Linked DNA regions of Lepisosteus oculatus. The protein of the gene in region 1 purifies or fractionates together with the protein of each later gene. This does not show direct contact. Links are inferred from orthologs where the notes say so. Each region holds a gene or a part of one and is shown on either strand. Other genes may lie near its edges.

Evidence for each region.
Region 2: the proteins of fam98a (region 1) and nufip2 purify together in Homo sapiens (co-immunoprecipitation; 3 studies listed by BioGRID and IntAct, with this or other methods). This does not show direct contact. The link is inferred for Lepisosteus oculatus from reciprocal best matches to the Homo sapiens genes FAM98A and NUFIP2.

What each region holds. Positions count from the first base shown.
Region 1 is NC_090712.1:17,466,449-17,481,969, reverse strand, and holds the start of fam98a (protein FAM98A), read right to left. Parts: upstream 5,654-15,521; 5' UTR 5,515-5,653; coding exon 5,477-5,514; intron 4,371-5,476; coding exon 4,222-4,370; intron 4,068-4,221; coding exon 3,933-4,067; intron 3,488-3,932; coding exon 3,303-3,487; intron 2,750-3,302; coding exon 2,669-2,749; intron 2,203-2,668; coding exon 2,086-2,202; intron 1,815-2,085; coding exon 1,647-1,814; intron 907-1,646; coding exon 235-906; 3' UTR 1-234. Other genes in the region: rasgrp3 (ras guanyl-releasing protein 3), read right to left, coding at 12,312-12,422, 14,332-14,672. UniProt on the Homo sapiens protein: Positively stimulates PRMT1-induced protein arginine methylation. Involved in skeletal homeostasis. Positively regulates lysosome peripheral distribution and ruffled border formation in osteoclasts.
Region 2 is NC_090721.1:9,002,734-9,018,736, forward strand, and holds the start of nufip2 (FMR1-interacting protein NUFIP2), read right to left. Parts: upstream 6,400-16,003; 5' UTR 5,549-6,399; coding exon 5,404-5,548; intron 1,009-5,403; coding exon 1-1,008. UniProt on the Homo sapiens protein: Binds RNA.

The DNA.
Region 1 (15,521 bases):
CATTAACAATGTGACTTGTTTTTTGTTGGCAACTATCCCTTTTTTTTTTTTGGCAAGGAAAATTTCAGGTTTCGGTTTTCTCTGACAAAATTCCTTTACCAGCACAAATTAAAAAGATTCAACCTCCTGCCAGGCTCTCACTGTCGCTGTGCAAACTGTAAAGGTTTAAGGCGTATTCCCCCCTTCCTCATCTCCGAACGTGTGAGCTCTGCTGCAATGACCGCGGGGCTGTCCTCAACTGGCGTAGTGCCGCCCCTGGCCGAAGCCCGCCTGATTATACTGATAGCCCCCCTGCTGGAAGTACTGCTCGAACTGCCCTCCCTGGCCGTAGTTCTGCGCTCCTCTCCCTCCCCAGCCTCCTCCTTGGCCTACACGACTGCCCCGGCCCCGGCCCCCTCGCCCTCCGCGCCCCCCCCTGTCCTGGTGCCCCCCCTCCTGGTATCGGCTGTCCTGCTGGTACGCGCCCACTCCACCTCCTTGGTAGCTGCCCCCGCCACCCTGGTATCCACTTCCTGGGTAACTCGGCGCCTGAAAGCCGCCATGAAAAGCTCCGCCGGAGTACCCCCCACTGCCACCCTGGTAGCCACCCCCGCCCTGGTAGTTGCCCTGGTACGCGCCGCCGCCGCCTCCTCCGTCTGACCAGCCTCCTTGTACTTTACCTCCTCTTCCACCCCCCCCACCCCTGCTGCCCCCCCGGTCGTAGCCTCCTCGCCCCCCTTGCGACGGCTGCTCGTAGCCCCCTCTGCCCCCTCCTCTGCCCCCGCCGCCCCCGTACCCCTGCCCACCCCCGCCTCCTCCGTGCTGCTGCGGCCCGTCCTGTCTCTTCTGCCAGCTGGGCATCTCTGGGGGGGGCGGCTCAATCTCGTTGGGTCTCCCGCCTCGGTCGGGCACTCGGCCCATCAGCACCTAGGAGACACAACCATGAAAATCTGCCTCTGCTCGATACCGAGGACACCTGCTAGCTGCATCAGGGCACCTCTTTCTTCCGCAGCGTTAGTGGAATAGCTTCACTTCACCTGCGGCTACATCACCCTGCAACTCACAACCAGCAGCCCTCTGAAGCTCAGCAGGAGTGAGCCTGGTCAGTACCCGGAGGGGAGACCTCCTGGGAAAGCTAAGGCTGCTGCTGGAGAAGTGTTAGTAGGGCCAGGAGGGGGCGCTCACCCTGTAGTCTGTGTGGGTCCTAATGCCCCAGTAAATTATGCTATACTGTAAAAAGGAGCCATCTTCGGATGTGATGCAGAGGTCCCGACTCTCTGCAGTCATTAAAAATCCCTGGGCATTTCTCCAAAAGAGTGGGGATGTTACCCCAGTCATGGCTTTACCAATCATGGCCTCCTAATAACCCCCCTCTCTGAACTAGCTCCATCACTCTGCTCTCCTCCCCACTGAGAGCTGGTGTGTGGGGAGCGTACCGGGGCACTCTGGCTGCCATCACATCATCCAGGTGGGGAACATTGTTGGCGGTGGAGGTTGTTGAGTGCAGTGTCAAAAAAAGCACTATACAAGTATAAGGGATTATTATTATTATTATTAAAAACTCCTTTTCTTCAATTTAAAAAAAGCCATCTTCTCTTTTTGGCACAAACAATCAATCCTCCCCACCACCAGGGTAAAAGTATATTCGTTTTTCCGTGACTCCTTACTTTGTTAATGGCACAGGCAGTCCTCTCGCGGATATTCCCACTGCTCGTCCTTAGGATTTTGGACAGATCCTCCCGCGCAGCGAAGAGATGAGCTACAGAGACGGTGCTTTTCGCAGCGAGAGCTGCACGCTTTGGCTGGTACACTTTGGCCAACTTTTCAGTGTGAGCCTAAATTCCGATTTAAAAATAAAAAGTTTGTGGTTAAAGCCGAAGTAAAAATGACCATCCAGGATTCTGTCTCAACATACACACCTCGTTTACAGCTGCAATGCACAAGCGTAAGAGGACTGATGAAGGGTCACTGAGCAAAGAAAAACGACACATTTTCTTTGAGTCCTTGTCACTGTGTGAAAATTTAAAGCAAAATCTAAAGTAGCACAGGTTTATCTATAAGAAATACAGCACTGCAGAAAAGGTTCAGCTTCACTGAACATCTTACCTTGGCTCTTTCAGACCAACCAAATGACTGAACTGTTACATCAAGACGTTTCAACAACATCTTCCTCCGGACTTCATATTCATTTGCAAGGGCTTGGTTAATGGCTTCAACCTTCTCCTGCCAAAGGACACATCATGTGCTTTACATTTACATTGTGCTACAGCAAAGCACAGCACTTTCCCTTACCAACACCACAGCCAGTACTTCCTGAGGGTGCAATATCATGCTAGCAAAATGAAAAACAAGACTAACTGCACTGGAGTATTTCAGACCTACTAGCAAAGTAGTGTTTGCATTTTTGCATGTTCTCTTCTGTCTGTTAAGGTGCTAATGTAAATGACGAATATATATTCATCACAGTTCCCGTCAATGAAGTGAAATAGGGCCTGCCATAACAGAAAATAAGGAACGTTATATAAAACCCTTTGATTGTTTACAGTTACAAGAAAATACAAGTATTTATAAACTGTTTTTGTGTCTGTTATACCCTTTTCTTGAGTTTTAAAATAACTATCTGCCTTACAACAGATTGCATCCTGCAATAACTCCTCCACCAGCAGTCAACACTTTCTGCAGTATTTACCCAGTGAACTGGTCCCAGCGTTTTCTTCATCAGGGGCTTTCCGACGTGATAAGGAGACACCTTGGACAAAGCTTCCTTCAGCTGTTGATCCAGACAAAGACACCTGCATAACTTTAAACTGGATGGACCCCCTTCATGACCAAAACTGCCATGCACGATGATAAGAACTTGGATTTGGGTTTTCAAGCAAACAAACACAAGAACTTACAAACATGGTCTAAGAACCAAGGTTTCAAAACTCAATACAGAACACTGTTTTTTTTATGGGAGAAGTCACACTAAAACTAATATATATCTCCTCTTTTTCCTAATCCCATATTACAATTTAACCCCCTTAATTCCCCTCATTACACAGAACACTCTTGTGCTCTTTAGATGGTAGTTCTGGATAATAATGTGAATTATATGACCAGTTTGGAGCACAGCAGAAAATTAATGCACTGACCGTGTAACACCAGTCCGGGTTTTATGTCTGCCTGTCTCATGAGAATGTTCAATAGCTCAATTCTACTTAGAATCAGAGTCCTAATTACTAAGCAAAATGCCGAGCCATGGAAATCTGTGTGTTTTGAGTTCAGGTCTGGTGAGGGGTGCCTCTATACCAAGGAGAATCCAGCTGAGCTGTGTGTTGTACCTTCTTCTCGATGCCACTGAAGAACTGGAACATGGAGATGTTGGCAGGGGGCTTGGACATGCCCAGTCCCATGCAGATCCCCTTCAATTCCATGAAAACCTCACTGCCTCCTGCCTCTTGCACTTTCTTCTGCGGTCTATTGACGATGATCATTTTTGAGGCCTCCAGCTCAGAAATAAGGTAAGCTGAAGGGCATTAAAACATGCATTAATCTAAGAACACTAAACAGACTTTTTATATTTTCTTTTTCAACAGGAACGGTGGGGTCTTCAGTTACATCCTATCAACCTGTTCAGTAACACAAATGAGGAAAGAACGGATACTAAGTCAGTGCTGAGACTTAAATAAATGTAAAAACTGAAAATTCCAGGGCAACCAATGAAACAGACAGCATTTCTCTATCTAGTGCAAGATTGTGCTAAAGTTGATTACAGCAACAGGCTACATTCGATTAGTATTTCTGCATCACTGTATTTGTGCACGCTTGTTTTCTGCACTATGCAGTGTTGAAACGTGGTGCCTCTGTCTGTGTCACTGCTTTCCAGTCTGATTTCTTAGTGCTTTGCCGTTATTAGCATTTCTGGGAAATCAAATGATTCACTTAAGAATGGACTACTGTCGTGCACATACTGATCAGCAGAAGGCAGTTGTTCTTGTTCATAAGCCGTTTGGTGACGTCTCCTGACGTGAGAACAGAATAGGGGCACATCATCTCGGACAGCAGGCCGCTGATCTCCAGCTGAAACCCTTCTGCTTCCCCGGGACCTGGGCAAACAAGAGGCAGCCTGCTTTGGAAAACTACTTTTATTCAGATACGTCTCCTGCTCAGAATTTACTACAGAGAACAAGAGAGTTGGTTGCAGAATGTACTCTCGCTGAGACGAAACACACAAGTAAAGCGAAAAGGCTTCTCTCTTACTGTTGGTGGCTTGGATGTTCTCCTCCAGTTTACAGTAGAGCTTGAGCTCGGTCACAATCCAAGCGCACACTTTAGTGAACTCGGGGGAGGCTGCCCCGCTGGACACTGCCTGGTCCAGCGCTCCGTCCTCCAGGAGAGGGCCCTTATAGCTGCCAAGAGCAAAGGGCTTTATCAACACACGCAGCGACGTCGGGGCTTTTCCAGACCCTTCAAACCGATTTCGACTTTGTTTTGAGTGCACAGGATGGAGAGTGACACAGTGGCGCTGCGGTTGGCACCGCTGGGGTTCTGGGGTCAATATCTGGGTGCTTTCTGCATGGATCTTATATGTTCTCCCTGGGTTTTCCGTGGGTTTACTCCGGGTGCTCTGGTTGGTTAACTGGCTTCTGGGAAAACGGCCCTGCTGTTGAGTATGTGCGCTTGTGTGTGCCTCCTGCGAAGGACTGACATCCTGTTTAGGGTGTATCCTGCCTTGTGCCCGCTGCTTGCTGGGATATACTCTGGCTCTCCCACAACCCTGAACTGGAAGCAGTGGTTAGAAAGCGGATGGATGGCGGGCAAGATGTCTGACCTGTTACCACAACCCCAAGGTAAAATGTCATTACTTTATTTCTGAAGAAATGAAACGGCCATTTACAGTGGCTTCATTTATTCAGCAGGTTACTAAAGTTGTGATAGATACAGCTCACAGAGTCCTACAGGTACAATAATAAGAAGTCTTGGGTTCCATGCGCCGTGCAATTAATGCAGGGAAAATAAATGAGGTCTTCCCTAACGCAATTTATGAAATATTTGGTCTTTCACGTTCACGTTTTCACAGCAACACAATTAAAGTCATACAAAAACACAGGATAATACGGTGTTTTCATAACGGCAACGCCATAATTCTCTTAAATAACGATAACCCAGCAAGGAATGTCAGGTAAATGAAATCAAAGCCACGTCTTTAGTAATGTTTCTATAAAGCCCTAGTGGATAATAATGAACATATCGAACAGCTGAAACTCCCTTTACCGACACGAAGCGCCAGGAGGGCAGCCGATTTGCGGAGTCTAACATTACCGGTGAAACATCCAAACAACAACAGTGACTCGATTCATTCTGATTCAAACACAACTCGTAACGCGTATTTGTGTTAAGAATAGAAACACTGCTGCCAGCACGCTGGTGACAGTCGCGCTGTGTCACACTCCTCACTGTGAGCAAACAGCCGCGGAATCCTGTCACGTTTGATCACATCACCAGTTTCACATACCCCAGGTCTTCTAACGCGTCCAGTATGTCGTTTTCCATTTTCCCCGACACGTTCCTCCGAATGATCAAAGGACAGAAATTAAAAAATCAAAGTAGACGTGCCTGCCCTCACTCGGGTGCTGGGTTGGCATGCCGGGGTCCTAACCCGACCTCTCAACTCGGCGAGGGCCGGCCAGCGCCGTGCCTGTGTCGCCAGTAAAAACGCTGCGTCTCACGTACGCCCACACCAATACGCAAAAACCCACATTTCGTTATTAACAAAATATGGTTAGAATCTTTCGAAGAGGTATGAGCGCGTATTGTTACTGCTGAGGCACCGAAGAGCATCATTTCGCGTCAGGGGTCTTCGCTTTGGCTGACGCAGCTGCGCCTGTGCGTTCTTGCAGCCCGGAGCCCGGCAGTATCTGCGCAGCTCCGCGTTCCTTACTGGCTACGTGCGACGTCACTCAGCTCTTTCTGCACACATCCTGCGCAGATCCTGACCTTTGCTTTAAGCTCGTGGTTCAAATGCGCAGCACAAGAGACCGCCTGCGACTTTGAATCTGTAGCCACGAAGTTAAGGTCAGGGTGTCCTAACTTAAATGCGTGATTTCATTTTTGTTATATACCTATGTAATTAACAACATATAAGGTTCCAAACCAAAGGAGGGAATCATGCTTGTTTGATACTTCAGCAGCTAAGCAAATCTGGGCTTTTCAACTGGTGAGGTACAATACAAGTATGAAGAAATTTGTAGTGAGGTGAAACCTGACAAGTGTAGTCCATTTGTGCGATAATTTCAAAGACAAAGTAGTTCCTGGCAGCTGAGACCTGTGCAGGACCCTCTATTCCTTTGTACGTTAACTGTATTGTCATTGGAATGATCCAACCAAGTCTGGAGAGAATTGTTCTTGAACAGAAACAGCACAAGGTTTAACAAGCAGTTGACAACCGGTTCATCCAATTGAATGGGAAAAATAACTGCTGCACTTGGGAGGTGTAATTCAGAAGCATGTATGTTGATAGATGAAATCCATCACGTTTGATTCAACCGATGAAGCAGCTCTAGAGACAGAAGCAGTTTGAGTTGTAAGAAAAAAACTGTCAATCAGGCAGCCCTCTCGACTGATCTGTAACTTCTGTTAGAAAGCTAAATCAAGAGGAAGAGCTACGTTTGGGGTGAATTGGCTGAATATTTTTTAACCAGTGTTAGCTGCACACTGGTGGTGGTGGAGGGGAGTCCCCATTACCTGTAAAGCGCTTTGAGTGGAGTGTCCAGAAAAGCCCTATATAAGTGTAAGAAATTATTATTATTATTATTATTATTATTATTATTATTATTATTAGGGGGCGGCTAGTGTCATGAGCAGTGTTTCTCATAAACCATTAGAATCACAAAATACAGAAATCATAGAGCTCTGAGGTCTTAACCTTGGTCCGACTCTGCGTGTGTGCCACACTTATGAGCCATTCCTCTAATTGGAAGCTGGACAAGACATCACCAGACTTTGGCGTTCAGGGTTCATTTCTGTAATGGCTGGCAGTACTGAAGAAGGACTGATGGGAAGGATTTCAGAAGCAGGCAACTGCCAACTGTGTCGCAACACAACTATTGGAAAGGATACCGCTAGACGAAAACAGGGTTCAGAGTACCCTCACCATGGTAAAACACATGATTTAAGCTGCAAATACAAAGTCAAAGACATTCAAACAGGTACTCTTTTTGACTTGGGAAAAAGAGAATCTTGTGTTAATGCCTGCTGTCTACAAGAAAGGACTTGGACTCTGCATTCCACATAATGGGAATAAAAACAACAACAACAGTAATGTCCATGCATATTATTTTATTGATTAACAGACAATGTCACAAAACTTTAAATCTGAAACAAAGAAAGCTGAAAAATCCTAACTTGACTAGTTCAGTATTATGAGGTCTGCAGATTTACTCATAATCATTGTCTTTATTGTTTACCCTCAATGGTTTAAAGGTTTGAAATTATAATAGTGATGAAAATACAAGTAAACACCACAATTTGACAAAGATCACCAACAGTTTTGTCTATAAACCTCTGCTTTCACTTTTTACCAGATGTGATTTTCTAAGTGTTCGGCATGCCTCAGTGTTGGCACAGGATACTTATTGACTCACAGAGTGGGAGATGCAGTGTAAGCAATGCCTTTCCTGGTACAGAAACAAGAAGTGGCAGTCCGGCAGAACCAGACTGATAAAGACACTGGTAAATACACACAAATAGTGGACAAGGTGGACAAGGAGAACTCCTGCAGGGGCTGAAAAAGAAAACAACATCTTTCTCTTTTTTTTTGTAGAAATATACACAAATTGAAATATGAAATAAATAACCTGCCCCTAAAATAAACTTTGGCCATAAACATTTTTTCCAACCACAGTTTTAAAAACAGGGCATTTGTTAAAAAGTTTGTTTTGTCCACATGGAGACTCAATTCTGAAGATACATCACTGACAGTTTTCTTTGCACGTGTTCTGGTTATCTTAGGCTAGAACCATTTGCAATTTGGGAGATAAGTATTGTAATCTAGCTTTTGGGGAAACCACAGCACCCCCTTTTCAATCTTGCTTGATTTTTTATTTCTGTACACTAGGTGACATAGAAACAGAACTCCCATAATGCACTGGATATGACTAGGAGCTCCAGAAAACAATAAATAACCATAATGCTGCGGTCTCTAGCCTAAGGATATCTGGGGACATGTCCTAAAGTGTTGAGATACTCTGTTTTTTGACTGTATTTAACTTTTTAGTCAGGCACTGCGTAATATCATGAGACAAGGGCTAAGACTTCATGAGGCTGATACTCACGAGTCTGATACTATGTAAGGATTTGAGATGACATCATTGCACTTTGACCTTTCGGATGGCTGGCAAGCAGAGCAAAAAGCTTTAACAAAAGTGGCTTTAAATTTAGTGCCTTACTAAATCAATCCATTTATTTTTTTTATAATTTCTTGTAATTTAGGGTCACAGGAGAGCCAGAGCTTATTCCAGCAAACAGCAGACACAAGGAAGGATACACGCTTGACAGGACACCAGTCCATCACAGGGCAGACAAGCACAAACACGGATATCACATGCTCACACCAAGGCCAGTTTTCCCAGAAACCCAGAGGAAACCTGCATGAACATACCTGTACAAACTTCACACAGGTAGCCCCCCCAGTCAGGAATGGAGCCTAGGGGCCCAGCACTAATGCTAACCACTGTGCCACTGTGCCGCCATGCTACCCAACTTTACTAAATCATTTTTTAAACTAACATTATTGTTAATTTTATGCAATTTATTGTGTGGGACTCTTCTGAAACAAAATCTATCAAATCAACATCTGAAATGATTTGCAGGGCTCCTGATGTTTCTTTCTGTATGGCTCATGTGCTTGACTGTGTAATTCTTATGGTCTTATGCTAAATTAACGGATTCCAAGTGTCTGTACCTTGTTTTGTCCTGTTTCTGTGTCGTATATTGATGAAAACACCTAGAACCTATTACTCATAGCAGAATTGCTATATTAGCTGAAGTATCAATTAACCAATTTATTTTTCACAAAATAATTGTTTAGAATGTAGGTTGTCTTGGATAAAGTACTGTAGTAATACCACTACTACTAATTATATTAACGTGCAGTTTACTAATTATCATTAGACAGTTACTCAAGTATTGATCAATTGCCAGGAAAAAAGCAAGTAATTCACAATCCTTCTGACTGCTTTTTCTAGTTGCAATACTCTGGAAAGTAAGGAGCTGAGTGACCACAGCATGATGGCACAGAAAACAGAATGTGCACACCAGCAGCAGAAAAGAGATGCATTGTATTTAGTAAATTATACAGTAGGATACCTGTGCAAGCCCACTTTGCTGTGTTGGGTCAAGGTGTGTATTACCAACATTGTGCAAATTTGTACATAGATTTTGATTTGCGAGAACAGTAGAAAGTGGTTTTGCTCAGGATTTACTTTTCTGTTTATGCCAGGGGAACATAGCAGCAGTGAGGAGAAACATCTGCTCTTTTTGCTCACATGGCTTGGTCACAGCATGTCGGAAAATGAAGTCGACACAGGTCAAGTTACAGTCACTCAGCGGCACAGCCAGACCAAACTCTGGCCTGGTGTTTGAGCTGCTTTAGAGAGAAAGAGCCAAGAGGCTTCTCTGTTCTCTAAAGGTAACATATCAATGTGTCTCTTCCCCCACAGTAAAGGCGTATTTGTTGAAAAGATTGTCAGTTGGCACTTTTACACCAGACAAACGCTGACAAACGCCCACTGCCCTGGTCACTACAAGGATTGCTCCAGTTGAAAACTGGTGCAACTGAAATCAATTCAATCCCAAACATCACCATCCACCTCACATTCTCAACCGAAGGTGATCCTATTGCAGATCAAAATGGAACTGGGTTGCAACCTTCTGCAAATCCAAACAAAATGCAAACAATTCTGGATCATTTCTTGAAGTTTTAACACACTGGAGGAATTTGCATGCAGAAGGAGGTCCTGTTAATTTCCTCGTCTCAATGTTGAGTATTAAAATGCTGTCTTGCATGACCAAGAGGATGGGAAACTACAGCTCAAACCAAATAGCTGCAGTTCTTCTCAGACTCCACCTGTTACAAAATGTTGTGACAAACACTGCATGACTACAGGCTACTCATATGTCGTTTTTTGACTTCAGAAGGTCAAAAATGAAACAGGACCTCATGTTCCTCTCTGGGGGTTCCTAGCATTCAGGCCAGAGAGTGTAGATTCATAATAAACTGTTACATTACAAACAACATTTAACGATAAAGAATTTCACTGGTGTTCTTTAGATTGACAAAGGAGCTGAGATCTGGAATTTTATCAGAAATACTGAGGCATTAGCGAAGTACAATAAACTGATCTTAGCTCATAAATTACAATTTAACTCTTCATTTTGTATTCAAAACAATACTAACTGAATAATCTTCATAAACATTTGAACAACATAAATGACATAAATTTCAGGAGCTGTAAAAAAATAAAAAAACTTATTTTTCAAGTAGACCAGCTATTTTAATAATATTAACAATACAACTTGGGATGAGCCCCAAACTTTATAGAACATATGCGACTGTAGATCTACATCAAGATTGTCAGTGGAGAATACAGGAGCCTTTATCATGTAATCCCTTTGTTGGTGTGGGTGTTTCCTGATATCAAGAATATTTCTCAAACATGTATTGTAATTCCAGCTAATGATGAAGAAAAGTAAAATGGTTTGCTGTCATAAGTACCCATTAATAAATGAAGATTCCTCTTTTAAATGGTCTATTTAAAATGTTGAGATGTTTCAAAAAGCATCAGCCTTTCAGAAGGCATTGGCCTTCTGTATTCAACTGGGTGGTATCCACTGTCCACTGGCAGTTTTCAACCTTACCCGGTCTCTCTGCAGACATAACCTGCCAGTGCCCCATTACTTCAGTTTTAACAGAGTTTCTTGTGTCTAAAAGCAGTTGCTCACACAAACTGCTTCACAGTGTGGGCTATCTGACTAACACACCAAGATGGGTCTACATGTATTTATGAGCCATCTTGGTGGGGAGAGGATAGGCTTTCATGTTCCCAGATTCAGGTAACAATCAGCCTGTGCTGCTCAGCTCTGGATGAGAGACGTCCTTCACCAGGAGCTGTGGATGCCTCGTTACAGGTCTCGCACACCCCTCCAGCACCTGGCTGTGCTTCTAGAATGTTCTCTTCCACAGCCAGCTGACAAGGCCCGGCTGACTTCACAGAGTCTTTCAACAGCCAGGGGGCCACATTTAGCTTTCCACTCTCAGGTAACAGTTATTCCCCTATCTGTCTATGTTTCAATTAAAAACACAGCCTATAAACAACCCCAATCAGGTGTTTCTAGGGTCTGCATCCCGTCTGAGATCTGTGCTGAGTCTGCCCTCTACCAGAATGTTCCCGCTTTTAGGAGATAAAATCTTTTCAAATTTGAAAAAAAAAGAACAAGTTTTTAGAAAACCTCCCTTTCAACAGTCTGAAAAAAAATAGAGCTTTCCTAGAGGCAAACATGCGTAATTAGCCATAATCTTCAAAAGTAGTCCAAACTGAAACTCTTTTTCCATTTTTTGAACTATTCCTACCTCGGTCAAGCCTGACTTGATAAACAGACACTGAAGCCATACTCACTGTTAGTGCTGCGCTACAGATGTGGAGTATATACTATTCTGTCCTTTCTGTATAGACATGAATCCACTTTCTTTCTGTGTCTCACATACATTTGTCCTCCTCTCTGTATACTATTGCCATCTTACCTGCATTCTCTACATTTTCTCTCATTTGTTTTTCATCTCTTGTCTCTTTAGCCTCATCATAAAGAAATAAGGTTCACTTTCCACTGGTACCAGTAACAGGTGAACCTCGTGTACTGTATTCTGGCCAGGATGCAGAAGATTTCATTCACTGGCTTCTTGTTCAGTCAATAAAAACGCAGTACAGCCCGTAGCCACCCACTGGAGAAGATACCGAAACTCAGTCTGAGCAACTGGGGTACCAGTTTCTGTCCGGGCAGGTTGGAAAGGACAGGGAAGAAGAGTCAGGAGGAGGGAAGGCTGTGTGGAACGGGATTTGCTGAGTACATCTACATAAACAAGACCATGGGGTGGGCTGAGGGGAGACAGACCGACAGCCGTCTGTAGCGTGGGGCCTCAGCCCACCTGAGGAAGTGCCCCATTCCCCTTCGTCAGAATTTGGCACTGCCCCTAGGCCACGCCAACTGCCCCGCCACACTTCGTGAGGTTCCACATACGCCGATCCTGCTGGAGCGCGGGGGCCCGCTTCTGGTCGAGCCGGGGCTATTCCAGTTCAGCGAGCCAGGGCTTCAGGCAGCCCAGCACGTCTCCCATGATCCTCCGGGGCCGGGGGCGGGGGGGCCTCTGCAGGCTCACGGGCGCGTCCGACCTGGCAGGAAGTCAGCTGTCCTGTCGACAGAGCGCAGCGGCAAAGCAGATTTCATGAGCAAGCACATTCCTTCAGAAATCTTGGACAGGGAGTGAACACAAGGGGGCTGTATCGGTCAGGACAAAGGCTTTTAATTTTCCCCTGTTTTTGTCAGATATATGTCAGATGTAAGCTGTACACGAGCGACGTGGTGGCACAGTGATCGGCAGTGACGGGGCCCTGGGTTCAATTCCGATCCAGGGTGCCTTCTGAGTGGATATTGTACATGCCCGTTCTCATGGGTCTCCTCCCGCAGTCCAAACGCCTCCTGGCAGGTTAACCCCAGGGAAATTCCAGGGCCTTGGTGTGAGTGTGTGCACGTTTGTATCCATGCCTGCCTGCTCTGTGGTGGACTGGTGTCCCACCCAGCGTGTGTCCTGCCTTGTGCCTGTTGCGTGCTAGGACGGGCTCTGGCTCCGTCGTGACCCTGAGTTTCATGAAGCAGTTAGAACGTGGATGGAGGGAGGGATATGTGAAGACTGACACATGGGCCAAATTTGAGAAATCTGTGATTACCCAAAATTCCTAAAGGGAGACTTCAGTGCTAAAATGTATTTTATATAGAATGTAATCTGTTTTAAGTTGAAGTTTAAGATATGTTAAGATGTGGGGATCTCATTGTCAGGAGTGATCTCATTGTCCACTTGAAGGTAGGGGAAAAAATATTATTATTCCCCTTTAGATTCCTTATTTCAGCAACTGTTTGTTTTTCAAATACTTATTTTTTTTCAGGAATTTTCCTTATATACTGTCAATTCAAGTTATATCACATTCATACCCTTTGTTCCCTCTGTCCAGGTTTTTCCCTAGCTGTTGAAACAGGAGGCAGCCTGTGGCATTATGTCCTAACATCACAGCTGCACCCGAGAGTTTCCAAACCCGACTGGTGTCACAAGGCAACCCTTACATAAGGCTGAAAGTACATCTTTAGCCAGCCTTGAGTTTAGGATGAATACGGCTTGGGATCAACAGAGTAACAGTAGTAGTTACTCTGAGACCTTGACGACACCGTCACCATGGTTATTAAAATCTGGATAACCAGGATTCTTTTCACCGGCCTTGAAGTAAGTTTGCTGTTCATTTCAGTTCCCAGTAAAGCTAATCTCTACTTTGATATGCACCTGTGAGGTGTACACTCCTGGAAAATTCAACCTTGAGGCCTAGATTTAGAACACAACATGTAAATCGCTGTAAAAAGAGCCTTTTTTTATGAAAAGATCTGAAGAGCAATGGTAATTTGAAAACCTTCCAGAAACACGTTTTTACTTTCTTTCCTTTAATATGATTTATTGCATTAGTGGGACATTTACCCACTAATGAAGTGAAGTTACAGTATGTTTTGCAAATCTATAAAATTCACATCTCTGGGCTAAATCCTGTTTTTCTTCCTAAGCATAATATTGTGCTCTAGCTTGAATGGGTAGCCTCCCACTCGGTATTTCTTTATGTATCAAATGAAAACGCCTTCACTAAATTACACTGAAGATGGTGTCCCTCCACACTGCCTTTGCTCATTTCCCTTGGAATAATTACACCCAAGGACTAAGCAAGTCTGTCTTGACCCGCTTGGCTGAGGGCTCCTGGGACCCCTGTGCAGGGTGAGAGGTGACCAAGGGGCCGCTGCACAGGTGGAGATGGGCTGGAGGAGGGAGGCAACAGACAGATGCGAGGGAGGGAAGGGGATTCCTCATGGAGCAGGAGGAAACCAAGTCAGGAATGGTGATAAATTGCTGCCAGCTGAGGCTGACTGACCTGGGCTGTTGGCGCTGGCGTTAGAAACTCTGTCTGTAGCTCGGGAATGCGAGTAGCTCACTGTTTGTCAGCCCCTCCAGAGGAGCAGTGCTGGGAAGGGCTCTCGCCCCCCACCCAGCGGGCGATCCCGTACCTCGTCGGCGTCCGGCCCGTCCTCGCCCGTGCCCAGCCCGTTCCGCTCCTCGGCGCCGGCCGGCCCCGGCTTGTCGTTCTCCCAGCGCGCGAAGCCCTTGCCCTTGGAGCCCCTGCCGTGGAGCCTGTATCTCATCTTGGGGAAGGTGTGCGAGCCGCCGTCGCCCGCGCCCCAGCCGTGCTCGTGCCACAGCGGCTCCGTCTGCGTGGCCTGGCTGGCGGTGGCCCGCTGCAGCCGCACGGAGATCTTGCGGGCCGAGCCGGTCACCAGGGTGATGGACCGGCCGTCCAGGTCCGGGCAGGCGGGGGCGACGCGGGGAAACTCGAACACCTCGTCCTGAGCTGCGGAGAGGACAGGGCTGTTCCAGAGCGCTCTCTAGAGAGACGGCGGCTCTCTGACGGCGGCAAAACGGGAGGATTGCGGTCTGAATCTACCGCGAGACACTCGCGATGCCCTCGCCAACAACACAAGAATGACGAGAATCGACCTACAGGTAACTGCTGGAATAAAGGAAACACCAACATAAAGTGTCTTCACAGGGCGCTGGGCCCCACAAGCCACCCGGACGGCGTCAAACGCGCCCTGGCAGAGGTTGTGCAAGCGTCGGGAACACTGCTGGAGGGACGCACCACTGTCCTTCCACGGGAAATTCCAGCATTTGGAGTTTTGTCGATGGCGGTGAAAACCGCTGCCTCAGGCGCCGCTCCAGAATCTCCCATAAGTGCTCAGCTGGGTTGAGATCTGGTGACTGGTTAACGGCCGTGGCACATGGTTCACATCGCTTTCGTGCTCATCAAACCCATCAGTGAGCTCTCACGCCTCGTCATCCTGGAAGATTCCATAGACTCGTCCGCTTGCTGAGAACAAGGCGAAGGATCGCTCATCCAACCCTGTGACTTTTCTCCACGACTCAGTGTTTTTTGGCCCAGAAGTGCGTTTTTAGCTATAATATGGGGTTTATGCATTGCAAGCTGACCATAGTATCCCTCCCTGTCAAGTTCTCGGCTGGCTGCACTTGACGAAACTGCCCGTGCACGCCCAGGATTGATACGTGCAGTCAGCAGATTCAGAATTGCTCGTCTGTTTTGCATCTCGGAACCAATGCACATATAACCAGGTGATGAGGTGTGGGCACAGTTGTTGGGAATAGCGCCTCACGCAGGCTGGTAGTTAGACTGTCACTACCAGCC
Region 2 (16,003 bases), on another chromosome or scaffold:
CTTGCATATGCGCAGGGGTCAAAGGGTACACGAAGAGGCCGGGTTTCCTGGGCTCCCCGCTGCCGCCGCTGCTGTCGGGCGACGAGGCTACATTCTCGCCCGCCGGCACCGCGGGGGCGGGCGTCTCGGGACAAGCAGCGCCGAGGAGGGGCCCGGCCGGCGAGCAGCAGGCCGCCTCCGCGGAGACGGGCCCGTTCGCAAAGGCCGCCGAGGCGCCGGTCTTCACAGCGGACATGGGGACGTGAGACAGCCGGGCGGGCAGCGGGGGGGCCTGGCTCTCCTTGTTGAGGTTCTCCTTGACTTTGCTTGCATAACTGATCTTGGGGACAATCTTGGCGCTGCTGTTGTCCACTGGAAAGACGGGGGGGGGCTTGAACAGGGTCCACGAGTCCTCTCGGGGCGCCACCGAGCTGGCGGGCTTGACCTTGCCGGGCTTGTCCTCGAATTTCTTGCCGGGACACCCGGCCGCCTTGCTGTCCGAGTTCTTCCTCTGCAGCTCGCCCGCCGGCCCGGCCGGGACCCCCGCCGCCGGCCCGCCGGACCCCAGCTTGGCCCGGCTCGGGGGGGCGTCGGGCCTGGCCCCGCAGGGCTCGGGCTCCTGCGGCTCCTTCACGCTGTTGCGCCTGGCCTTGCGCTTCTTGGGCGTGGTGTAGCCGCTCTCCGACCCGCTGCCGTCGTTGTCCGCCGCCGGCCGGCCGCCACCGCCGCCGCCGGGGTAGCCGTTGGCGACGCAGCCCGAGCTCAGGGCCACGACTCCGTTCAGGAGCGGCGCCGGCTCCTTCCTGTCCGCGGGCCTGTCACTCCTGCTGTCCATACTGGTCTTATGACCAGGGCCGGCTTTGCTCCCCACTTTGGCGAGAGTGTCCGCAGTCCTGGCTGCCTGGCGGGGTCTGGGGGGAGGGTCTACCAGCTGCCTGCTGCCATTCCCGGGACCGAGGAGCTCGGCGGAATCGCTGGCAGACAGGATCTTCTCTCTCTCCGCTGCGCTGCCGTTTATTTTGCCATTTCCTACAAAATAACCAGAGAAAACCAAGAGTAAATAATGATACATAATTGCTGACACTTATATAGCGCTTTTCTGGACACTCCACTCAAAGCGCTTTACAGGTAATGGGGATCCGCTCCACCCCCACCAGTGTGCAGCCCCACCTGGATGATGCACCAGTACTCTCCCCACACACCAGCTCTCAGTGGGGAGGAGAGCAGAGTGATGAAGCCAGTTCAGAGATGGGGATTATTAGGAGGCCATGATTGGCAAAGGCCAGGAGGAAATTTGGCCAGGACACCAGGGTAACACCCCTACTCTTTTCGAGAAACACCCTGGGATTTTTAATGACCACATAGAGTCAGGACCTCAGTTTTACGTCTCATCCGAAGCATGGCGCCTTTTTACAGTAGTGTCCCTGTCACTATACTGGGGCATTAGGACTCACACAGACCGCAGGGTGAGCACCCCCTACTGGCCCCACTAACACCCCTTCCACCAGCAGCCTTAGTTTTTCCCAGGAGGTCTCCCATCCAGGTACTGGCCAGGCTCCCACCTGCTGAGCTCCAGTGGGCGGCCAGCTGTGTGTCACAGGGTGTGTCACTGCTGGCCGTAAGTTTAAAATCAGTTTAAAGGCTGCTGAAAAACCCCAGCGGTCTGAGCAGAGGTCTGTGTCGTCACAGATTTTTAATAGATCTTCTGCATCAAAACTGAAGTTCTAAGAATTTTAGATCATGTATGAGCGGTTATATTTCTGGTCTGGCTTTAGCAAAAAAAAAAAAGCATTTTCTTTTCTAAACAGGAAGAAGACGAGCACGTTACAATCTAATTCGAGTTCAGAAGTCGTGTTAAGTAGGAGACACTGCCGATTCAACGCCCAGCGCAATATTTTTTAGAAATGAAACTCAGTAACATTAACACTTCCATCCCACAGAACTGTTATAACACGTTCGTTATCAAATATTAGCTTAGCAACATTTTGGCAAATATAGCTCTTCCCTCAATTTCTGGCAGCTCTCCAAACAACAGAGTTCCTAGTAAGCTGCAGTGGGGTTGTGCAACACTTCATAACAGCGTAACAAACACAATCAAAATAAACAAGCTTGAGAGACCACCCCATCCCATCCTCGGAGCTCGTCTTTAACCTGTGTGGTCTGCTCCCATTTATAACTCCCACTGCAGAGAAAACGTCAAAGTCAGTTTCATACGGTGAATCGCCATCAACCCTCGGACCCCTAGCTTGTACAGCAAGAAGAGACCCTTAGCGTCTCTCCTCCTGTGTCCTCCACTGCAACAGCTGCAGCATGGCGAGAGACTGGCCCAGCCAGGCCTGGGGTAGTCAGCCCGAGCGCAGACGTGAAGACTAACCTGCACTGGAAGCCTGTGGAAGGGGCAGTATCCAGCCAGCTCCCCTCCACCCTTAGTGCTTGTGTTCTGAGTGAACCGTCTCCCTTCTTTCCCAGGACGTAAATCACCTCATGCTGCTGCCTCCCCACATGAACAAGCCCAGCAGGAAGAGTTTCAGGAAAGCCGGTCCCCTCTCCTAGCGGAATCGGGGGGGCCCCCCCACAAGCAGAAGAGGATCGGACGGGTTCTGTCTGGAATACAGACCTAGCTGCCACACACACACACACACACACACACACACGTCCTCCGAGAAGCTATTTTACTGTGGCAGTCAACCACACGAGGATCTCCCGTCTGCAACAAGCAAAGACATCGGACTATTTAACACCCGTCGATGCAGGTGCTCCCACAAGCACGACTGGCAGGGCTCCTACTCGCTTCTACCAGCAAAATGCCAAAGCTTTTCCCTAACTTCTCTTCCTGCATCATTTACATCTTGCACGTCCTGGGTCTTCATCCGTTCGGAGCGATAGCTTGTGTTTTTCACCTGCTAACCAGAGGTCACTGAAAACACATTCACCTGCCATTCTGAAATGGGCGCGAGGCGAGCTCATGGCTCACTATAACATTCCCGCGAGAGGGACTGACGCGGTGTACTGTTGCCAACGGCCTCTTTTTAAAAGTTTGCTAGCAAAATCATATGATACAGCCCTGATCATCTTGGGTCAACTTAAAAAAAAATCCTATAACTTTTCCCCAAAACGTAATGGATATTCTATTTTTTTATCATTTTCAAAACTTTTCCAGGTCTGGAAAATGAAATTTCACTTTCCATACCTCTTCCAGGATTTCCATGACAGTGGGCACCCTGTACCGAGGTAAAAAGAGCGCTATGTTTTCAGCATGAAGGCATTAACTGTGCCTATTACACGCACCCGAGCTTTTCACAGGCTTACACAGGTGTACACTTACCACAAAAAAAGGTTACTAAAATGCAGCCTTTCTAGGCTTTAAATCAAAGCTTTCCAAGATGCAGAAATCATCTCTCCTGCAGTTCACCTGATTATGTCCCATCCAATACACAGGGGATCTTTCTAGTGGCAGTTAGCACTGAAATACAAATCTGTGCTATTCCATTACCGTGCTGTCCAGTGAGCTCACAGGCACGCTACACTCCCTACACGTGTTAGACATGGTAGGAGTGAGCCAGTCGCTCCAGCCCAGCAGGCCAAATGCAAGACTAAGGTGAAGGTAGAAATGAGAACAACCACCCCACGCTTGCGCTGAAAGCGACCCTAGTCTGTCCACCACAAGCAGCTTTAAAGGAGCGAGAGAGGGCCTGTGGTGTCTTTGGAAAACAATGTGCGATCTATGGTGATAATCTGACTGATCTTGTGCTGTGACGGCGCCAGAACTGTTCTCTTTTTGAAAACAAAAAGGGGCAACGCTCCACTAAAACCCCATGTGATCGATTCTCCCCGCTGTTCGCGTGGCGCAGTGGGACCCTCTCCACGCCGCGGTTCAGGAGTGGTGGTGCTGATGCACACGAACTCAACGTCTGCCCTCACGCCAACTTGTTTTTTTTAAAAAAACTACACGAAGCGTAGCGTTCTCGGCCTCCCCGCTTCGCCATCATCCCCATTACGCGTCGGTTTGGCTTTTGCGAGCGACTTAAGGCGACTCCGCAACATGTTGCTGGGATTTGCCAAGAAGCGTGGAAGAGCTCGCTCCGCCTCGCGTGGCGCTTCCCCGGCTGCCGGAGCTCTCGGGCACGCGAGATCTCCACAAACTGCACGAGCAGCAGTTCTTCCGCCTCAACACGTTCCTTCTCCTGGTCGGCTAAACGCTTATTTAAAACAGATTAATCGCCCCCCAAATACCAAAAGTGTCCACATACACACACACGGCTTCCTATGAATGATATATGTGTACATACAGCTCAAAAGCATGGCCACTATTAATAAGAGCACAACCAGCCTCACGAAAACGGGTACACGGGCAAATATCCCGAGGAAAATGAAGATGCTATACGAGGGAAGAGGGTAACTGAGACCCGTGGTATTTCATTATCGACTACAACAACCTTCCCAAAAATAAAAAAGTATGTGCTACCAATTTTGGACAAAAACGTAAACTGGGTCAGTTCTCCAAGTTAACTAAAAAACCATCTTAAAGCATTGAGGTGCATCTGTAACTCGCGGCTTTATTTTAAACATTTTTCATTTACTGTTCCGTTTTCCTATTTTACGTGAAAAACGAAAATGACTGGGCACCCCGTCTCCGGGCGGGCGGCTGTCAAGTCCTCTCTGCTGCCGACAGAGGAGACGGGTCTCCGGCGCGGCCTTGCACGGAAGGACACCGTCCCAGGACACTAAAAACACGACACTGGTTTGATCGGATCTTTGGAAGATTCGTCTTTGCGGGTATTTTGCTGCATTTTTGTTGAACACCGGCTCTCCGATTGTAGGCCCCCCCCGCCGCCGCCGCCTCCGGAACAGCAGAGAGCAACAGGGCCCACAGACTCAAGGAGAGCGATCCGGGGTCTCAGTAAAATACTACGCTGGCGCCCACTTTCACCACACAAAACGAGAAAATCAATCCCCTGAACTTCCCGGGGGTGCCACGACGGCACCGACAGCTGTAGAAAGTCATGGTTTGAGAGCCCGGTGCTGGGATTTTCGCTACCAACATGGCGGACAGGAAATAGCAGCCGAGTAAACTGAGGAAAAGCACATTCCAGCGGAGCCGGCTTGTGTTGGTAAGGGGGGAGACGAGCACTCAAAACCCCGCGATTTTCTCAATTAAAACTGGCCCTTTCGCACGACCCACCCCGAGACAGTTCGAGAAAAGAGTCTTTTACTGTAAACCAGCGTGCCAGGCGGCGTCCGCCCTCCTTAGATACGTCTAAAAAAAGTGACCAGGAATCGCTGCTAACCGGCAGCACAAGGTCAATCTCCATATTACAGACAGCTACCCTCCGCCGTCTCACAGTGGAGACTCACGCACCCAACTTCCAGCTCAAATAATTCCCCATCTTCAGCTGTTTCTGGCCTTAGCTAAGCAAACCCGACCTGTTTTCTTCGCCTGCGTTTCCTGGTGGTGGTGCTGGCAGTGGCTCGGCTCATTTTTCAGCGTTTTCCTGGGCCGGGTCGGGCTCCTCTCTCCTCCATGGTGGTAGCGCTGCTGAGGTGCCCGCACGCTGGGCTGTTCCTCCATTGAAGTGTAGCAGGAGACTCCCCGGCTCCGGCCAGTGCGCACTGCTCACCGGGCTCACCGAGCGAGAGAGAGTGGGGGGGGTGCAGGACCGCGGCCCTACCCAATCGACGCCGCGACCCCAGCGCTGCCTCGCTTGGTCTCTGCTGCTGCCGCTCCGGCGAGAGGCTGGACCGAGAGGATCAACGTCAGCAGTCAGCCGGTGGAAGTAGCGCCGTCGGCACCGCTCTCCTCTCACACCAGGCGAACCGTGCGTGTAGCGTGTGCAGGCACGGGGCTCTTTCGCTTTGACGTTCCTCGCCGGTCTCACGGTCTTCCCCGCCGAACATGCATACTGTACATGCTTTTAAATAAAATAAATACCCCTTCGTCTCGGTCTTGGAGTGCTCGGTGGCGGAGTCATATTAACATTTTTTTTTACTTCGATACTTAGTCATACACGCAGGTAGCAGTTAAATACCTTGATAGAGAGGGGGTGCATTATGTACCCAGCCCGCATTCCTGCATTTCACCCAATTTTAGGTGTAAAGTTTAATTGCCTGAACCCCCCCTCCCTCCTCCTCTCTCTCTGTCTCTCCACCCCCTTGTAGCGAGTTTTCCAGAACGTTACTTCAGCCTGTTACACGGTAACCCATTTTTAAACTTCTCGTCGTCACGTGTATATGACTCAAGGGACCCAGGCTGTCTCGGCGTCTTCTTATAGACCGGCTTACAACTCACTTACTGGCCCAGCACCTTCGGAAACGTGTTTTTACTGTACGGTATTCACAAAGACCCGGCACCTTCTGACCCGGTCTCTCGTCACATGAGCGTGACGCTCACGCTGGGCAACCTCTCCCCCAAACACAGTCCTGAAAAACAAGTGTTTCAGCGTGCATGCATCTATACTTATTACCCATACGTGCGATTCTAAATGTTATGTTCTTGTATATTAATCAGTCTCCAACCTATAGCACTTAAGGACTATTGTGACAAGGTGACCGAAGTTAAAATATAGGCTAATTGTCATAGCGCAGAGAAGAGATGCTGGTTTTTGTTTTTTAGAAAGGTTGGTTTTCCTCCACGAAAAGAGATCACTCGGGTGTCATTAAGCACGTGTGGCTGACTAAGCGAATACCGGCAGTTCCTTCGAAATCAGGTGGTTTGCTAATAACACGCAGAGGGGTCGCAATCATCCCTCTATTAATGCTTTTAAGGTAGAATTCCTCTTTTAAATCTTTAAAAACAAAACAGCTCCTCCTCTCCTCCTGTGACGTATATGAACAATCTTAGATTCAAACACCACCCAGGTGCTGTAAGACGCCGCGAATTGTAAGCAAGTAACTACGCGAAACTGCTTTGCTTTATTTAAAGAGCAATAAGATGCATGTTTCAGCAAAAAAAAACATTTCAGTTCAGCATTTTTAAACATCCTTTTAAAAAAATGACGCTACGCCCAATTCTGAATAGGGCGCAGAATGAGATTACTGAAGGCAATCTTCAAGTAGAATAAAGGATTATAGGAACAAGTAATAGGTTTATTCCATGCTGAAAACAGGAAGAAAGAAAACAACGTTTCGGCCGTGGAGCCTTCTTCAGAATTGGGGGTAGCGTCATTTTTTGATACCAGATTATATACCAGTAAAATGTGATGAATGAAGCGGCAGTTTAAGGGTGCTTCTGCAGTTCCAGTAAGAGAAAGTTTATATTACACGTGTATAAATATAATGAGTATACAGATTTTTAAACAACATGTTTGCCTTAGTTAATATTTTTTCCCGAATACGCCCCGGTCCGGCGGTATCACATTAGCAGTAGCCCTTATGAATAAACCTATTACTTGGCCCTTATGAACCGATGATCCAATAATCATATTTAAAAGGCACGATTATATAGAGCGAACAGTTTAATAACAGTTCAAGTGCTCAGGGCTATGGTAAAGAAGCCGCTGAAGAGCGCTAGGAAGGTATAGGGATACCGAGGACGACGATCCTGCAGAAGCAGTTGCAGCTCTAGTCCGGTCCGCCGGAACAGCTATTTGTAGAGACATCTAAGACGCCACCACCCACCCCCTTTCCCATTATAACCAGGCCCGCACCTGCTGCTTGTCACACACAATCAGGAGCGGGGTCGTCAGGCTCGGGGAATGCCGGGCTGGGGCACCGCGGGCGAAGCTTAATGAAAGATCCCTCGTTCTGCCGGAACAAACTCTTCGGCGTGCTCAATGGGAGGCGGGGGCGCGTCCCGTGAATGTAGGGTGAATTTTAGAAGGGGCGCCCCTTTTGTGAAGTCCGACACCCAGTTACACAGAGCTGCGCTTCCAAACGGCAGGAGACGCTCTTGTGAAATAACGGCATTCATAGGCAGGGCCATCATTTAGAGAGACATCCACGCTTTATTTAAATGTGGGTCTTGCCTGCCTATATTGTTAGTACATTATAGCTAGGTTCAATCGCAAGGATGCGATTTTCAAAACATAAGCAGGTCTAAGACATGCTAAGAAAACTAATGGTAGCAGCCGAAAACGGCGCTGTGTCACGCCACGAGTCACCCTTCACTGAGTTCATACTGGGTGAGCAGCACAGGCGTTTTGAGGAAACAAACAGAGCGCATTTTCCATGGCGAGAGGACAATCGTGATTCACACAGAACATCCTGGAATACAGGACGTATTGGCTGTTTGCTTTTCAAAACCCTTCTGCACAATCTCCATGCTCCGCGGCGCCCGCATTCCTCACACCCAGAGTACGGTCTCACCTGCACATGAATCACCGCTGCAGGTACAGCACCTGTCCCCTGCGGTCCAACAGCTCTGCTGTCCTCTACTGCCTCCTAGAGGCTGTAATACGAAGATTTTTATAGATATCAGAATGAGAAAATAATCATCATCATCATCAGTATCATCATCATCATTGCTTACACTTATATAGCGCTTTACAGGTAATGAGGATCCCCTCCACCACCACCAGTGTGCAGCCCCACCCGGTATCACCTGACTTAGTTCAACTTAACTGCACCACAGTAGGTCACTTTAGCGTATATTCACTTGCTAAAACATTTTGTGTGTGCACGAAATTTCGAATGAAGTTTCCTTGTATCTGTCTGATACAGTTAAACTCGGGAAAACATCACACGCTCTATATTATAACCACCAGAAATGACAGGTTAATTGCTTTTAATAATAAAAACAACCCAACCCAGGGATAAGCTCCAGCAGCTGCAACCTTTCCCAGGAATAATAATTGATTTCAGATTTTAGAAGGACGGATGGAAAAACCGCTGCATGACTGAAAGACTCCCCCTGCTGGCCAAGGTTGTAACTGCGCTTCCTGGCGGCCCCCCTCGCTTCTACGGAAACTGCTGACGTGCCGCCTTCCTGGCGGTTTCACAACCCTGGTGACTGTAGAAGAAGCTGATTTCGCCTGTAATTAAAGAAGAGGAACAAAAAAACATAAACAAAATAAAAAGGACGTAAAAATTAGGCTCATGTATAAATCACAACCATCTAACATAATTTTTGAAAAAATAATAATTCTGGCATTCACACAACAAATTCAGATCCAGGCCTCCTTGCAGGACACTGTTGTTTTTGCAGTCTCCCTTTCTGAGCTTGGTGTTTTGCTGCATACAAATTTACTTCCTCTCAGTTCTCAGGGACCACAGTGCCCTGAATCTATAATTCAATGCACTGAATTAATGTGAAGAATTTCTGTTTTGGAGTCGTTTGCTCCACACAAGAAAGGGGTGACTTTTTTTTCTTTGGTTTGTTCATCACCAAACTTTTCTTCAAGCACTGCAGCTTTCCATAACAGCTTGCAAACTGCACAAAGTAATTTCCATCTCACAGAGGGTCACGATTCGCTGCACAGGTGCTTGAATTTAGGAAAGACGACAGTATACAGTGCCTTGCGAAAGTATTCGGCCCCCTTGAACTTTTCAACCTTTTGCCACATTTCAGGCTTCAAACATAAAGATATAAATTTTTTATTTTATGTGAAGAATCACCAACAAGTGGGACACAATTGTGAAGTGGAACGAAATCTATTGGATTTTTGAAACTTTTTTAACTAATAAAAAAATGAAAAGTGGGGCGTGCAAAATTATTCGGCCCCTTTACTTTCAGTGCAGCAAACTCACTCCAGAAGTTCAGCGAGGATCTCTGAATGATCCAATGTTGTCCTAAATGACTGATGGTGATAAATAGAATCCACCTGTGTGTAATCAAGTCTCTGTATAAATGCACCTGCTCTGTGATAGTCTCAAGGTTCTGTTGAAAGCGCAGAGAGCATCATGAAGACCAAGGAACACACCAGGCAGGTCCGTAATACTGTTGTGGAGAAGTTTAAAGCCGGATTTGGATACAAAAAGATTTCCCAAGCTTCAAACATCCCAAGGAGCACTATGCAAGCGATCATCTTGAAATGGAAGGAGTATCAGACCACTGCAAATCTACCAAGACCTGGCCGTCCCTCTAAACTTTCAGCTCAGACAAGGAGAAGACTGATCAGAGATGCAGCCAAGAGGCCCATGATCACTCTGGATGAACTGCAGAGAACTACAGCTGAGGTGGGAGAGTCTGTCCATAGGACAACAATCAGTCATACACTGCACAAATCTGGCCTTTATGGAAGAGTGGCAAGAAGAAAGCCATTTCTCAAAGATATCCATAAAAAGTCTCGTCTAAAGTTTGCCACAAGCCACCTGGGAGACACCCCAAACATGTGGAAGAAGGTGCTCTGGTCAGATGAAACCAAAATCGAACTTTTTGCCCACAATGCAAAACGATATGTTTGGCGTAAAAGCAACACAGCTCATCACCCTCAACACACCATCCCCACTGTCAAACATGGTGGTGGCAGCATCATGGTTTGGGCCTGCTTTTCTTCAGCAGGGACAGGGAAGATGGTTAAAATTGAGGGGAAGATGGATGCAGCCAAATACAGGACCATTCTGGATGAAAACCTGTTGGAGTCTGCAAAAGACCTGAAACTGGGACGGAGATTTATCTTCCAACAAGACAATGATCCCAAACATACAGCAAAATCTACAAAGGAATGGTTCACAAATAAACGTATCCAGGTGTTTGAATGGCCAAGTCAAAGTCCAGACCTGAATCTGTGGAAAGAGCTGAAAACTGCTGTTCACAAACGCTCTCCATCCAACCTCACTGAGCTCGAGCTGTTTTGCAAGGAAGAATGGGCAAGAATTTCAGTCTCTCGATGTGCAAAACTGATAGAGACATACCCCAAGCGACTTGCAGCTGTAATCGCAGCAAAAGGTGGCTCTACAAAGTATTAACGCAAGGGGGCCGAATAATTTTGCACGCCCCACTTTTCATTTTTTTATTAGTTAAAAAAGTTTCAAAAATCCAATAGATTTCGTTCCACTTCACAATTGTGTCCCACTTGTTGGTGATTCTTCACATAAAATAAAAAATTTATATCTTTATGTTTGAAGCCTGAAATGTGGCAAAAGGTTGAAAAGTTCAAGGGGGCCGAATACTTTCGCAAGACACTGTAGACAGACATTTGTGTAAGAGTCGCAGGGCATGAGAGGGAGGTCTGCTTTACCTCTGTTCTCCTCACCCTACAGCATCTTCTCGAAAGTTAGAATGAAAAGAGAGAATCTGAGGTCACCATATCACCCTGCAACGCACAGCTGGCAGCCCACTGAAGCTCACTGCTCAATGTTGCTCGCAAATGATATTGCTTCTTTTGTACTTCAACTCTTTCTTGCCCATTTTCCTTCATTTATTAATCGTTTAACCTTTGTAGGAAACAGGGTCCAAGGGACAGGAAGTTAACTGTCCACTGGGAGGCGCTCTGAGTATCAGATTCCTGAAGATCCACCTTGCACATCCCTGACTTCAGTCACACAAATATTCCAGTGATGGATGGAACTCTAAGAGTAATCCTAGCAAAACCCAGCAACTACCCCAGTTCCAAACACTGTCTGAACCCTGAACAGCACTGGTTCCAGTATTGGTCTCTATTTCTCCAGTATTACCCTCGAGGAGCACAAAGGGCAGTTCAACACTATTCAGATTAAATCCAGTTTACTGCACAGTAGTGTTTTCTACATTAGAAGAAAATTAATGTGAAGTCCAGACCGATATTTTCTTTAAACTTCGGTATGGACCCATTTTGTGTTTGTAGTTCTTGTTGGGAGCAATACTAAATCATACAAGCCCCCTCACAAACTCAACGACGGACCAAAATACTACTAAAGGTCTACAAGTAACACAGTTTACAAGAGACTGTCTTTTGTGTAGCAACAGGTTAAGATCAGGCACAGGCCCAGGTCAAATGTCTGGGTTCTGTGAGCCAGTGGGTGCAGTATTTAACTGCGTGTTCACGCCAGAAGCCTTTTGGGATCCATGTGTCACTTGAGTTCCAGATTAGTTAATTATTCACTTAACTGAACATATCTGACCCCTTTTTCGGAGGTGTTAATTAGCAACACGTTAAGGAGACCAACAACTCTGACCCTCAAGGATGGGACTGAAGGAACGCAGACATGAAAGGAAGAGTCCATGCAGGAGGTGTCTGCACTCACGGAGGGCTGTCCTTAGCGTCTGCTGTCCTGCGCCGATCAACCAGGAAACGGTCATCTCCTTCTCCGCGGCCTGAGAACAGCCTCAGGACATCACTGGTCATCCCCTCGGCTGACCTCGGCCTCTCACCCTGACCACTCTCCCTGTGCTGTTATTTACAGGAGATAATTAGCACTTTGAGAAAAGAGACTGTCTCTCACACAAGCTGGAATGCAGTTCTTCCCCAGTCTTTCTGGTCCTGACTTTTTTTTTAAACAAAAGCTATCTTTTATTGTTTCGATTTAAGTCCAAATTCTCTTAAGTCAGCAGCTTTTTAAGCTTCCTCTCATTGTCCTAACACTGGCTTTCCAAATCTCCACATATAGCTAAGAAATTCAAATATGATAAGAAAACGGCGCTGTGGCTTGTGGTGTAGTGTGCTGGTCTGCGGTCAGGCAGTAAGGGGCTGGATTCAAATCCAGAAACTCCAGACCCTTTTTTCATTATGCCAGCAGCCACATCACCCTGCAACTCACAACTGGCAACTCACTGAAGCTCAGCAGTGTGAGCCTGGTCAGTACCTGGATGGGAGACTCCTGGGAAAGCTAAGGCTGCTGCTGGAAGAGATATTAGAGGGGCCAGTAGGGGGCGCTCACACTGTGGTCTGTGTGGGTCCTAATGCCCCAGTATAGTGACGGGGACACTATACTGTAAAAAGGTGCCGTCCTTCAGATGAGACGAAAAACTGAGGTCCTGTCTCTCTGTGGGCATTTCTCGAAAAGAGTAGGGGTGTTACCCTGGTGTCCTGGCCAAATTTCCCCCTGGCCTTTACCAATCATGGCCTCCTAATAATCCCCATCTCTGAACTGGCTTCATCACTCTGCTCTCCTCCCCACTGAGAGCTGGTGTGTGGGGAGAGTACTGGTACATCATCCAGGTGGGGCTGCACACTGGTGGTGGGGGAGGGGATCCCCATTACCTGTAAAGTGCTTTGAATGGAGTGTCCAGAAAAGCGCTATATAAGTGTAAGCAAATATAAATTAATTATTATTAATTAACACTAAAACCTATACGCAGCAGTGATGGAGATGAGATTTCCATTCAACAGTTAAATACACTGTATTTAAAAGAACCACTAGAGGGCAGTGCTGTGTAAGCAGATATTTACATTGGCGGGGACGAAAATTCCATTTAAATAATACAATTATAATAAAACCCTCTATGGTCTTTAAACAGGAGGATCCTTTGTTGAAAATGCAGCAGAACACACCTGAGGGCGACCAGACTGAGGAACAGCAACACAGCAGCACATCCCTAGTTCTTCACAGTCCAGCACAGGCAGACCTTACAGTAGTTGCCAAACTCCAACAAAGAAATGCCTGAAAAAGAAAATTATGTTGTGTTATGCACAGAGTGATTAGAAATAATTTGTTAAGACGTTTCAGATAAAGCTCTCTCAGCTGCTTAGAAAGCAATGTTTTGCCTTTAGAAAGCAATTCCAGCAGCCCACTGAAGCCCAGCAGGTGTGAGCCTGGCCAGTACCTGGATGCGAGACTCCAGGAAAAAACTGAGGTTGCTGCTGGAAGAGGTGTTAGTGTGGCCAGTAGGGGGCGCTCATCCCGTGGTCTGTGTGGGGACACTATACTGTAAAAAGGAAGAGACGTAAAACTGAGGTCCTGATTCTCTGTGGGATTATAAATCCCAGTGTGTTTCTTCAAAAGAGTAGGGGTGTTACCCTGGTGTCCTGGCCAAATTTCCCATTGGCCTTTACCAGTCATGGGCTCCTAATAATCCCCATCTCTGAACTGGCTTTATCATTCTGCTCTCCTCCCCACTGAGAGCTGGTGTGTGGGGAGAGTACTGGTGCATCATCCAGGTGGGGCTGCACACTGGTGGTGGTGGAGGGGATCCCCATTACTGTATAGCACTTTAAACTAGTCCACTACTATTAAAGCACTTTGAGTGGAGTGTCCAGAAAAGCGCTTTATAAGTATACGGAATGATTATTAAAGCTGTTAACCTTTCTAAACAAATGACAAAACTAGTGTTGAAAAATGTCCTGATGACTTTTAAACCATCTGAGCCCTATGTGAGAACCTTTACAGAACACAGAACCTTTCCTTTCTCAGACAGACAGCCAGGATACACAGAAAGATGATGAAACTGTCTGATGGACGTTTGGACATATAGACAGATCACAGACAGATGGATGGCAGATACTGTAGATGGAAAGGCATGTTACAAACAGGTAGACAAATGGATAAAGAGATTACAGACAGATCGGTGAAAAATGTCCTGGTGTCTTTTAAGCAAACTGAGCCCTGTGTCCATCGCAGAACCTTCCTTTACTCGGACAGACACATGGACACAGACTGATGACGGATGGACGGACAGACAGGTGAACAGAAAGATCACAGACAGGCAGTTGTGTGTGGGCGGATGGGAGCCTTGATGCCTGTATAATTCTTGTCCCATCTGAGTCTCAGGGGTCCCGGACAGCAGGAATAAACGGCGCTGGAGGGGGGAGAGAGGGACGCGGGGAATTTTTCCTTACATTCCAGGATTGACAGGGAGTAACTACAGGACATGTAGCGGCTTTTTGTTTCTTGACAAATGTAGGCATTTGCCACAGTGTCAGCAGGAGCATAAATCACAGGAGATCAGGGGTCTAGTCATGTCATCCCCGAGTGAAAAGCTCCAGGTTTTAATTGCACACTGTGAGTCAGTGTAATGTTAGGCCTGGGGATTGGCGATGTCGGGCTGGCGCTGAGCACGAAGAGGACCTGGAAGGGCCTGCAGGAACGCTGAGCTCGCTCCACGCTGACGGCAGGGCTTCTCGGGCTGGTCCCAGGCATTTCTCATTCAGCTGGAATGTGGTGTCTCACCCAACCCGGCGCAGGGCACTGGGAGAGGCACAGATTCCTGGCTCGGGAGAAAAAAAACAACCAGCTTTTCATTTTTCACAATAATAATAATACAACAAAACCTTATCTTGTATATCGCCTTTAAAGGTGGATTCTCAAAGCGCTTTACAGAACGAAAACAACAACAATACAAAATACTCGAGACATGAGAGGAGACAGTGGATGGGGATACTGAATACAGCAGGAGCAGAGGGGCAAAGAACAGAACCAGTCGAGTTAAGACTTATAACCAGTATGGCCCAGTACTTATAAAAAGAACGCACTATAATGTCTGGTAATGAACCTTTTGCAAACACCAGCCTAAACCATTTTGGGTGGATGGCATTGTGAGTGCAATGAAGTAGTTCAGGTGGGGAGCTGCGTCAGCATGCGTAGGCTGCAAAGGAACAAGTAATAGGTTTATTCCATGCTGAAAAGAATTCTTTCTTCTCTTTTCAGCATGGAATAAACCTATTACTAGTTCCTTTGTAAGTGCAATGCCTTGACTTTGACCCAGAACAGTAATGAAGGGGGTAATCTACAGTATATGGACAACCCCAATCCGTATTTTACCCCCAAAACAGACACAAAAGCTACCCTGTACCCTCCCAAACAATGCAATCGATAAGAAACTACTGTCTAAAACCATTAGCACTCTTAAATTCTATTCTGTGGGTGAAGTGCCTCTCTAGACTTACAAATAAGGATTTCCTTTCTGAATCCCTTCAGATCACTCACTGCCCCTTGTTCTTTGGTTCACAGTTTTTCCAGCATTCACACAGAAGTTTGACAACATTAATGTTGCTGCAGAGCGGGCTGCAAAATGTCGTTAACCCTTTCACACACGCATCCCGAAAACTAAAACAGTCAGGGTCCCCGCCGTGCCGCTCCAGCCAACCCAATCGCGCCGTGGGCGAAAAGGCGACGCGGAGACCGCCTGAGGAGAGACACAAGCGATGCCCAGCTCGTTTCGCAACACGAACAACCGTGCGCCCTCCCCACGAGTTACAGGGCAGGGCGAGCGGCTCACCCCGGGCTGCATCGC